Linked DNA regions of Oryctolagus cuniculus. The main gene of each other region encodes a partner of the protein of the gene in region 3 in a complex. Links are inferred from orthologs where the notes say so. Each region holds a gene or a part of one and is shown on either strand. Other genes may lie near its edges.

The links.
Region 1: MED12 (region 3) and MED13L share a complex: the UniProt entries of both Homo sapiens proteins name them as parts of the mediator complex. The link is inferred for Oryctolagus cuniculus from reciprocal best matches to the Homo sapiens genes MED12 and MED13L.
Region 2: MED12 (region 3) and MED7 share a complex: the UniProt entries of both Homo sapiens proteins name them as parts of the mediator complex. The link is inferred for Oryctolagus cuniculus from reciprocal best matches to the Homo sapiens genes MED12 and MED7.

What each region holds. Positions count from the first base shown.
Region 1 is NC_091452.1:12,780,315-12,784,060, reverse strand, and holds the start of MED13L (mediator of RNA polymerase II transcription subunit 13-like), read left to right. Parts: upstream 1-1,317; 5' UTR 1,318-1,378; coding exon 1,379-1,450; intron 1,451-3,746. UniProt on the Homo sapiens protein: Component of the Mediator complex, a coactivator involved in the regulated transcription of nearly all RNA polymerase II-dependent genes.
Region 2 is NC_091437.1:44,110,811-44,114,556, forward strand, and holds the start of MED7 (mediator of RNA polymerase II transcription subunit 7), read right to left. Parts: upstream 2,520-3,746; coding exon 1,818-2,519; 3' UTR 1,813-1,817; intron 1-1,812. UniProt on the Homo sapiens protein: Component of the Mediator complex, a coactivator involved in the regulated transcription of nearly all RNA polymerase II-dependent genes.
Region 3 is NC_091453.1:50,931,458-50,935,103, reverse strand, and holds part of MED12 (mediator of RNA polymerase II transcription subunit 12), read right to left. Parts: intron 3,158-3,646; coding exon 3,077-3,157; intron 2,953-3,076; coding exon 2,782-2,952; intron 2,568-2,781; coding exon 2,423-2,567; intron 2,236-2,422; coding exon 2,185-2,235; intron 1,895-2,184; coding exon 1,776-1,894; intron 1,585-1,775; coding exon 1,441-1,584; intron 995-1,440; coding exon 831-994; intron 603-830; coding exon 471-602; intron 44-470; coding exon 1-43. UniProt on the Homo sapiens protein: Component of the Mediator complex, a coactivator involved in the regulated transcription of nearly all RNA polymerase II-dependent genes.

The DNA.
Region 1 (3,746 bases), on a different chromosome or scaffold from region 3:
CCAGCATGGAGCAAGAGCTCAGGGGACGTTTATGCAATGAATGAATGAATGCACACAGGAACTAGGATCCCCGCGCTCCAGCATGTCTGTATTGAACGCACAGGGCCTGGCGTACAGTACGAGCCTGGCTGCACTGCACGCTGGTGGCAAGGGTTCGAATCCCAAGACCTCGGGCAAGTGACTTGAGCTCCCTGTGCTTTGACTTCCCCCTCGGCAAAAGGCGTAGAGGCTTCGATGGACACTCCGAAGCACTTGGACCCTCTGCCCGGCCCACGGGAGCCCTCGTCACACCGGCTGGCCTGGGCGGTCGGCAGCACCGGCGAGGGCCGCGGGGCTGCAGCTACACCAGGTCCGCTCGGGGCCGGCGATCGCGCCCCCAACGCGCCAGGATCCGCGCCCCGCGAGAGCGCGCGGCCGCCCACGGCAGCCTCGGGTCGGCTGCCCGCCGCCCGCCACGGGAGCCGGCCGCCTGCACTTCTTTCTTTCCTTCTCCGGCTCCCTCCCTCTTCCCGGCCGGAGAACGCGGCTGCTCTCGGCTCAGCAGCGCCTCCCGCGAGCCGCCGCCGCCGCCGCCGCCGCCGCCGCTCCGGGCCCCTCCCCCGCCCGCCCCCCGCCCCCCCGCGCGGCCGGCGCCCGTCACGTGACGCAGCGGCAGCCAATGGCGAGCCGAGCCGCGGTCGGCGGCCGCCATTGCTGTCAGAGCGAGCGAGCCCGGGGAGGGAGGAGAAGCGAGGCTGACTGGGGAGGAGGGGGGGGTGGGGGAGGAAGAGGAAGGAGGGGACGTCGCTCGGCTGCCGGGGTCGCCCGCTGGCTTCGTCCGCACCCCCCCCTTCGCGAGTTCGCGCTCCGCGGCGGCGGCGGCTCCGAGGCGGCGGCGGCGGCGGCTCCGGGGCTCGCCTCCCCTCACGCGCCGGCGGGGCCCGAGGGGGAGTCGGTGGCTGGAGATAAACAAGGCGGCGGCAGCGGCGGCGGCTGAGGATCAGGGAAGGCGGAGGCGGCGGCCGGCCCGTAGCGCCGGCCCGGGAGGCAGCGGCGGCCCTGAGAGGCGGGGAGGGCGCCGGGCCGCGCGGACAGCGCCCCCCGCCGCCGCCGCAGCCGCCGCCGCCGCCGCCGCCCGAGCAGGAAGGAGCCGCGCGGCCGCCGCGGACCCCCCCGCCGGCCCGGGCCCGCCGCCCCCGGCGCGGCGTCGCCGCGGCGCCTCCCGCCCGCCCGCCGGCCCTCCCGCCCTCCTCCTCCTCCTCCTCCTCCTCCTCCTCCGGCGGCGGCGGCGGCCCGGCCGCTCCGCGCTCCCCGGCGAGGCGCCGCCGCCCGGCCCGGCCTCGCCTCGGACGCCTCGCTCCGACATGCCCCGCTCTGGCGGCCGGGCTCGCGGAGGATCATGACTGCGGCAGCGAACTGGGTGGCGAACGGGGCGAGCCTGGAGGATTGTCACTCCAACCTCTTCTCGCTGGTGAGTAGCCGGGCCGTGGGGAGGGGGCAGGCCGGGGGGGGGGGGTCTCCGACCTCCGCCGCCGACCAACTTTCTCCTCCCGCCGCCGGGACTTCGCCCCTCCCTCGCCTCTCCCCGCCGTTCGCCTCTAGCTGATTCTCCCCCTTTTGGATCGTCGCTCCCTCGCCTTGGATCCCATCCAGTGTTTATTTGGCTCTTTAAAAATCATTTGTGAGCGCAGCGCTCGGCGTGGAATTTGCATGTGGAAGTCTCCAAGCTGCGGATTCTGGGTCGCACTTCGAACGCCCACCCTCTGTTGCAATCACACCCCCCTTCCCCTCCCCTCTTCCCCGTTTTTTTTTTTTTTTTTTTTTTTTCCCCCTCTCCCTCTCCTCTCCCTTCCTTCCTAAACGTGGAAGGCTTTGCCTGGTGCTCCCCGCGCCTGCCATCAGCAGCAGCCTTTGCCCCTCTTGTCGGATCGGCCGCCCGCCTGCCTTTTGAATTTTTTTTTTTTTTTTAAATTCCATAATGACAGCCGCAATTTCGCCCGAAAGCAGTTGATTGAATGCGATTGTGTGGCTAAAGGACCGTCGCCCCCGGAGCTCCGGCGCTCGTAAACACGGACCTGCCGGCCGCCTCCCGGGGCTCCCCGCGCCGGAGCCCCGAGAGCCAGGCCCCCGAGCCGACGGAGGGCGGAGAGAGCGTCTCCTCCCTCTCCCCCTGTGTCTTCTAAAAACTGTTTTCTCTCTGCTGACAACAAATCCACACACACACACACACACAAAAGCAACAAGCTGGGCGGTGTGATAACATCGCTTTTATCTGCCTTCGCCTCTCGCGCTCTCGCTCTCTGATAATTGACAACTTTTCCTCTGGATTTGCATCGCCTGCCTTAATCTTGAAGCAGTTAGGGTGTCAATTGTTCTCGCGGAAGCCCGGCACCCGACGACGGCGTCTGGATCCATCGAAATTAAAAATGTATAGGGCTCCGGCAACTCTTTCCTGGCGGTGGCAGTGACATTTGGTGGTAAATGCCATCTTTGCTTTTTATTGGGTCGTATTACCTAGCTCCGAAAACATTCACGTTGTTCAACCTGGTGTTTAGACTAATAATTGCAATGCGTGGTCTTTAAATGTGTGCTTTGTGCATGAGTTACTGTATGTATAGCTATGTGCCCGGGAGACTACGAATTTGTTTAAATATTGAGCAAAGATTTGTAAACAGATGTAAGGCAATTATGTTTCAAGCGTAGAATATAATTGGAAAATTGGCAGAACGGTTTATTTAATTTAACCTTAAAAAAAAAAAACTTATTTTAAGTTGTGTACCCTGTTTTTTTGAGGGGGGGCCTCTGGACTCTTGGAGAGCATGCATTTTGGAAATTATTTTCTGTAACCCCTGCTGTAGATAGAAGCATTATTTCCTCTTAATCCTTGTTTATGCTGGGTAAATAATTTAGTGTTCAAATTGTAATTAGTTACATTTAATTATGGGTGGCATAGATGCTTTTTTCCCTTTGAGAATAGTGGGGAAATAGAAAATCTTGCCAACTTTTCAAGTGGAAGTATTATTTTATTAAATACATTACAGTATTTATACAGATAAAAACATCACATGTGATTTTCTGTCTACAAACATGGAATGACATAGTGTTGTTTCCACTGTGGTGTGGGATCACCTTAAGTTTTTTCTATCATCAAACATTTTTATCCAGATATTTAATCTTAACATTGAATTGCAAGCTGTGAATCTTCTCTCAGCACTGTGAGAATTTTCCCTTGATCTTTTTGTGTGTGGGAATAAAACTCACTTTGCCTCTTTTCCTCTTCTGTCTTCCTCTCAATCTATCATTTGGTATGAGGTTGAGGGACTTTCATAGATTAGCAAATGTATTGATTAAGGGGCATTTAAAATGGTTTTTGTTTGGCGGCTGGTGACCACATTGACACTTTTACAGGTAATTAAAACAACCAAGTAGACGGATATTAGTGAGGAGAGAGTGCCCACATTACCATGTATCATGCTGACTGGTAATGGCTTGTGTGTATGTGGCTAATTTCTACATGCACTGGATTTTGTAGACAGATGAAAGTGTATGATTTGTACAGTCTCTAAGGTGTATCATTTCTTTCACTTTCTAATAGAGCGTAAGTAAGAATGATAATGTTACAGAGATAAGATGCTTGAGATTCTTGTGGAGAAACTGAGTGTTTTAGGAGGGGATTCTGTACTTCTACTGACTCAAGTTTTGTGTTTTGGGTTTTCTTCCTTAAACTTCTTTACCCAAGGAATTATTTCTTGAATGCATTCTTTTTT
Region 2 (3,746 bases), on a different chromosome or scaffold from region 3:
TCCCAAATTGGTTTTGTACCTCAGCCCAACACTCCTCTCACAGCAATGTATTTTTTAAAAAGTCAAAAGAGAAACGGTTGTTGAGTTGTTCAAGAGCCATTTCCATCTTGCTCACTGACCAAGGTATGAGGGAGGAGGTGTGGAACAAATTTAATTTAATTAAGGGAAACCAGAATGTCCTTTGGGGGTCTCTGGTCCCAAGGTCTACACCAAGCATATTCCAGTTGGTAAAAAAAAAAAAAAAAAAAAAAAAACCTTAAATTTGAGACTTGTTAATTAGTTCTTGTCTGCTAGAAGTGTTAATTGGAAACAGCCTCTGTCTGAATGCAAAGAATGCATATTTCACACAGGGAAATTGGCCTGTAACCATTTTACAGTGAGTTGGTGAGACCTTAATGCAGCAAATCCCTATGCTAGTAAACAGGAAATGAGGGAGAAATCAAAAGCACATCACCCAGGAAAAGGCCCATCTCTACAGATGGTAATCTTGAGCATGCATCAGAATTGGAGGAAGGCTTAACACCAAGCTTGCCACGCCCTGTGCACCAGCAAGTTTCTGGTTCAGAAGGTCCAGGGTGGAGCCAGAGGAGCTTGATTTCTAACAAATCCCCAAGTGATGCTAATGCTGCTGGTCCAAAAGGACAATGGAGAACCACTGGCTTCTGTCAGAGAGTAGCAGGCAAAGATCCTGATATGAGGCCAATGGGCGGGAGGGGGAAGGAGGGAGGAGAAAAGAAAGTACAGAAATAAAATCTCAGTACCCAAGACAGTTTATTTCTTGTTCACATTAAGTTAGCTGTAGAAGGAAGAATGGAGTTAAAAGAGGACCTAATCTTCACATTCTAGAACCAAATTACTATAAACTGTTGTCACCAGGCTTGCATGGGTGTGGGCACACACCTAGCCGACTGGGGAACAGAATGGAAGATCGTGCAAGAAATCTTAGGGCACAGACTCCATTTCCCAGAACTTAGTCACATGGCCTCACACAGATATAGGGCAGTAGGGAAATGTGGTCACTGGCTGAACAGTGATATCTCAGCAAGAAGAAGCGCGAATCACTGGTGGACATCGAGCAGTTGCTCCCACCAAACCCTTCTCCCACTGCAGTCTACCAGCCTTGATCATGTCTGAGCTTAGCTTTAAAAATGTGTAATTTCAAAGAATTACAAATATTTTTAAAAATCTGTAATTTCAATCCTCTTAATTACTAAAATCTGTAATCTAAAATTTCTAACTAAGCTGACCAAAGACTTTCTACCCAAGTGACTGAGAAAAACCAATTTATGGGACCTACCAAGGTTCAAGATAAGGAAAAAGAGTCTACTGAGGTAGTAGAGTTACAAGAATCACAAGGAAAAATAAAGTTTTTGTTTCATAACAAATGGGTCTCTTTTAAAATGCTATACTACCTTATGCAGATTAGGTAAATTTTTAAATATTACATAATTTCACATTTTAGAGTATCTATCCCTCATTCTTAAAGCAAATGACAAATTTACTTTTTAAGGATGAAAGTTTGCTATTACCAAGGACACTGTCAAACTTTTACTCCAACTCCAAAAAAAAGAATGCCCCACACATCTGCAGCAAACATTTTCTTTTTCAGGTCACTATTCTTAATTTACGGGTCCCTGTTTGCCTACACTTGTTATATACTGAAATTGCTGCCTATGGCATTACGTAAGTGAAAAAGCTGGAGAGTCAAGAAAAAGGCCATTTAAACTTTTAGTTATTCATTTTAAGACTGCCCAAAAGAAAATAAACCAGTAATATTATACTATTTACCAAAAGGGAAAAAAGAAAACTAACATGAGTCACGGTCTTTCATTCATTTCATCAATTAGGACACACAAGGCAGCATCTTTTTCTATAATCTGGTCCCTTCGATGACCTGAATTTTCTCTTTGCTGCTCACTCTGTCCAGTACAATTGTTGCTATCATCAGCATCCATTGGTTCAGTTTTTACTTTTATTCCTGCTTCTGAGTGGGGTAAATCATCAGGCAAAGAGGCCAAGCAATTCTGAATCATCTCAATCACTCGCTCCAGATGCTTCTGAAACCTCTCGGCTGTTTCAAGCCTCTGTCGTTTCTGGACTTCCATCATAACTCTCAAGGTCTCTCTTGCTTGGTGGGGTCTGTATTCATTTATGAGATGATGCACATGGACAAAAAGCAGCTTAAGATCTTCCAGCTTCTCTTCTCGTTTTATACTCCCAGGGCTCCTTATCAAGATATCTAAAAGGTCCAAGAAATTAATAAGGATAGACATATTGAGTTTCCTCAGTTCTTTCTTGTGATCAAATTGCATAGGATGAAGCCTTTCGATGCCCTGACTTTCCAAAGGGCGGATAATAAGATCATCACATTGGAACTGGTTGCCAAACATCATATAACTGTCTTTGATTGGAGGGGGTGGCTTGGGAGCTAGACCTTCCTGAATATTTTCATCAGTGTATTCCTTGATGTACTGCATAGGAGGTGGAGGAAGTGCACTCACTTGCTGTGGCTCACCCATTGTGGAAGATCAAGCACCTACAAAAACAAACCAAAGATTCACAGAAGAACTACAAAACAAACCTGTCACATTTAGTGTTTACAGACAGAGCACTCCCCTTTTCTTCCGGTAGTTTCAAAGCTAACACTTACAACTCAGAATGGATGCCACCCTTTTCTAATTAAGCACTATATTCTCAACAACCCACATTATTTTTCCTTCCCTGTTAATACTTCTCTCCCAATATCTTGGAGTACCTTTTCATTTATAAAGAAAAGTCTTCTGGATTCTACACCACTTACCTTTTATGTCCCATTTCTCCACATCTCTTTATAGCAAAACTACACATGCTGTCGCCCAAACACATATCACAATCACTTTTTTTTTTAGAAGGTAGATGATTTTAAGATTTACTTTATTGATTTGAAAGGCAGAGTTACAGAGAGAGAAGGAGAAACAGAGATATCTTCCATCTGCCTTTTCATTCCCCAAATAGCTGCTAAGGACTGGGGCTGGGCCGGGGCCATGTAGAATCCAGGAACTTCATCCGGATCTCCTTTGTGAGTGATATGGGTCCAGGCACTTGGGCCATCTTCCACTGCCTTCTCAGGCATATGAGAGGAAGCCAGATAAAATTGGAACAACCAGGACTTAAACCAGTGCCCATATGGGATACTGGTGTTGCAGGGAGCCATTTAACCTGCTGCGCCACAATGCCAGCCCCTACAATCACTTTTACTATTACGAAGTGATTTCCCAAAGTAAATACTTATAACTCAAACATTTTGACAAAATTAACATTACTAAAATCTAGATACCCAGTATCATCCAAGGCTCCTAGATGAAATGATTATCCAAGTCTGTATCTTTTTTCTACATTTTATGCTACAATTTACTAACCTTTCTGTATCTACTATAGAAACTTGAAACCCAAATTCAAACCCACAGCTTCTATGGCCACAATCACTTCTACTTACTCCTTTTTAAACATAGGTATTATCATCCAATCTGAAGATTCTCAAGTGCTCTTTTAAACCGATCTGAACAGTTTTAAGACACACCCCTCCGACGTCAGGAGGCGGCAAGTACCCGTGTGCCTCTGCGGATGCGCACCCCTCGACTTCAGCTGGCATCTTTCCAGGGTCAACTCCCTAAGAGGCATCACTGTCTCACATCCTCTCCACATCATCTTCCTGCCAAAGCTATGACCTAAGTACACGATCAATTCTATTCTTCGGATGAGGATCC
Region 3 (3,646 bases):
CACGTTGCAGTAAATGGTGTTCTTCACTTTGGAGCAGAAGTCACTGCAGAGGGTGGGAGGAGAGCAGAGCGGTGTTGAAGGAGGTCTGGGGAGGTGGAGGGGTGGTGAGGAAAAGGGGGAGCAGAGAAAAGAAAGGAGAAAAGTGAGGGAATGGGGACCTGGGGACCAGGAAAAGGGTGACTGACGGGACAAAGCAGACTAGGCAGGAAAGGAAGCGTATTTGAGACTAGGAACGGGGGCTTCGTCTTGCAGGCGGGGAGGAAGAGCATGTGCCCCACAGCCATGGGCTGCAGGCAAGGTCGGTGAGGAAGAAGGCCTCAGCAGTGCAGTACCATGCAGAGACCACAGTCCACAAATGACCCTGGCCCGACCGCCAGGGCCTGGGCTGCGCTCTGCTCCGAGCTGGGTGCTCACAGGAAGGAGATGGGACCTGCTGTCCCTCCCTACGCTCTACCTCCCACCTCTCTTACCTGAAGAGCTCCCCAAATTTGCTCTTTAAATGGCTACAGGAGGTGTACAGATCATAGAGATAAGCGAGGATACAGCGTTCTGCAGAGGAGCCATCTGACCGGTTCATCCCATGCTTCACCACACCACACAGCCTGCCGAGAAAAGGCAAGGGGAGGGGAGGCTCAGCAGAGGGCATGCAGGGGCCCTGCGCGCAAAGATCCCTTGAAACAGACTCAAGTCTCTTGGGAAACACTATTCGGTCTCCACTTGAATGGCACGCACTTCCCAATGGTGGCAGCCCATGTGTTCTTCCCTGGCCATACACACAGGCCTGCACCGGAGCGCCTGGCACCTTGCAGTTCTCTTGAAGGCCTGCTTACCCCTCGAAGACCTGTGCCATCTGGTCCTGGTTGAGGATGAGGCAGGCGTGATAGTGCCGCAGGACGGCCACGATGCACAGGCATAGGCTGGTCGTGTAGCTGCCCACCAGATCCGAGGATTTGAGAAGCAACTCGGCCTCAACTACACTCAGTTCATTCAGCAGCTAGCAGAGTGAATGGGGTGAGAGATGAGACGAGGGCCCTCCTCGTGTTCCACACAACCCCTCCTGCCAGGGAGGAAACTGGCAAGGCCCGGCCCGAGCCCCTGGGCCCTGTTACCATATGCCACTGTCCTTTATTCTACTAACGACGCCTCTAACCAGTCTCTAGGATACAGTTCTATGAACACCACGGTGGAAGGACGGTCTGTGCCCAATGCTCTAATCTGTCTCTTGGGCCTCCCCGGGGAGCACTTAAGTCTCTATTCCTGCAGTCTCAGCTCATGTTCCAGTCTCCACCCCCATCACCCCTACTTCCCCCTCCCACCCCGCCCCACCCCGTGCTAGTCTCCCTGCCCCTCCGAATGGCCTGGCAAACTGGCTGGAGCCTCTACCCTTGACCTCACAGCCCTAACACAGCACGAACTCCTTCCTCCACCCAACTTCCCCACCTGAATGGCAAAGTCGATGAGGCCACTGATGCTCAGTGAATATTCCATGAGGTCGAAGATGAACTGCACATGCTGCACCAGAGGCAAGTGGTATGACATGCCAAGGGCAAAGCTCGTGATCTGCTCCAGAACATTCCGGGAGACCTGATAAGGGCAGTGGGAGTGAGCTGGGAGTGGAGGCAGGGGAGAAGAACCAGGGAAGCAGGAACGGATGATGGCGGAAGGGCATGAAACCAGCAGGCTTGGCCTGCCTAAGGGGGAAACAAAAGATAAAGGTGACAGGAAAACTGGACAGGAGGCCAGAATGCGGGAAGGGGCTGGGCTGAGGCCCACACCTGAGCCGTGACCTGGTGTTGGTCATAATGTGAAAGATGCTGGAACTTAGCAAAGATATCTTCAGCAGTGGGGAAGGCTTCAGGCCGGTTGCGCCGCCGCTTCTGCCCATCCTCCCCACCTGAGGGGACAGTTGAAAGGCGCCAGTTAGGACACAGCAGAGAACTAGCTGATGGGGGGGGAGGCTATGGGGGGGTGGGGGGAGGGAGGGAGGGAGGAGGGAGAAGGGAAAGGGAGGCGGGGAGGGAAGGAAGAGGGGAGAAGGGAGGGAAGGGAGGGAGGGGGAGAGTGAAGCCAAGGTTTGAGGACCACAGACTATGCGGCCCTTAGAGGAGTACGTACAGGGAGGAGCTAGGTTGAGGGAGGGAAGGGGGAGGGAAGGAGGGCAGTATGGGGCTTACTGTGAGGTACCTAAGAATGTCAGGTCTCCAGGATTCAGAGGCACAATAGGAGCAAGCTGGTCTGCAGAGGGGGGGAATGAGGGGGAAGTTTCAAAAGGACTAGAGCTCTGAGGAGACTCCAAGAGACAGGACATCGGGATGTGACTGGGGCGTTCCCTACGCTGGGGGAGGGAACACTGCCTAGGGCACTCTGCGGCTGGTGGTGGCTGGGGAGGGGGGCAGATCTGTTCAAGGAGCCTCTCACCCACCAGTTTCTGCAGTCCCCTTGCGGTTCAGAACCTTCAGGATATCCTTGGTGATCTTCTTGATGGCGTGGCGGGCATCGTCTCGCTGCTTTCCCACCCCAAACAGTACGACCAAGCGCTGGTTGCACTCATGGCTGCACGACTCCTCCTGCATCCCGGCGGCACCGTCAGACTCCAGCACTGGTCTCCTGCCCGCCGCCTCTTTAAAAAGCATGCGCCACACTCCTCGGCGGCCCCATGCCCGGGCCCCCCTCCCCCGCCCCCCAAGCCCTCAGCGACAGCTCCAACCCTCAGCGAAGGCCTGGGAGGGACAGACATGTGTGCTCACTGACAGAGCGCCATGAGGTGTTAGGAAACGGTACCTGGGGGATGGGAAAGTGCGTGGCGTACTGCACGTGCCGAGGCTGGTCATAAAGAACCCCCAGGGTGCCCTCGATCTTCTCTTTGGGTGGGGGCTTCACCTCCTTCTCAACATCTGGTTTCTCAGGGGAGGGGCTGCCCTTGCCCTCACAGGGCATAGTAGGAGAAAACAACTAAGAGAAAGGTGAGAGGCAGAACGTTTAGCAGAAAGGGAGATGTGGCGGCATAAGGGAATGTTCAGGAGTCGGTGGGAAGATCTAAGGAGCTGCATCCCTCTGAGCTCAGGATGGAACTTACTGGGAAGTCAGGCTTCTCCATGTCCTCAAAGAGCACACTGGAGCTAGGGTCAATGTCCATGGATTCTGACAGCCCTGGATCCTGAGGGCACAGAACAGAAGCAAAGCTGCTTGAGCCCTATGGAGCTGCTCGCCAGCGTCTAGAAAAGTTTACAGGGGAATCGAAGGCAGGAGACCATGTTGGAGAACGCACAGGATCTGGACTCAAGCCTCGTCCAGTCACTTAACCAGTATGAGCCTCAGTTTCCCTCAGCTTTAGATGGGGGATAAGAGTATCTCACAGGGGCAGGTGCTGTGGTGCAGCGAGTGAAGCCACCGCTTGTGACACCCACATCCCATATTGGACTCATGTCCTTGCTACTCCAAGTCCAATGCAGCTGCCTATTAATGCATCCTGGGAGGCAGCAGAAGATGGATCAAATGCCTGGGTCCCTGCCTCTCAAGTGGGAGACCTGGATGTGGTCCCGGGTTCCTGGCTTCAACCTGGCCCAGCCCTGGCTATTGGGGGGTATTCTGGGAGTGAACCAATAGATGGAAGATATCTCTTCCCATCCCCACCCCGCTTCCTTCT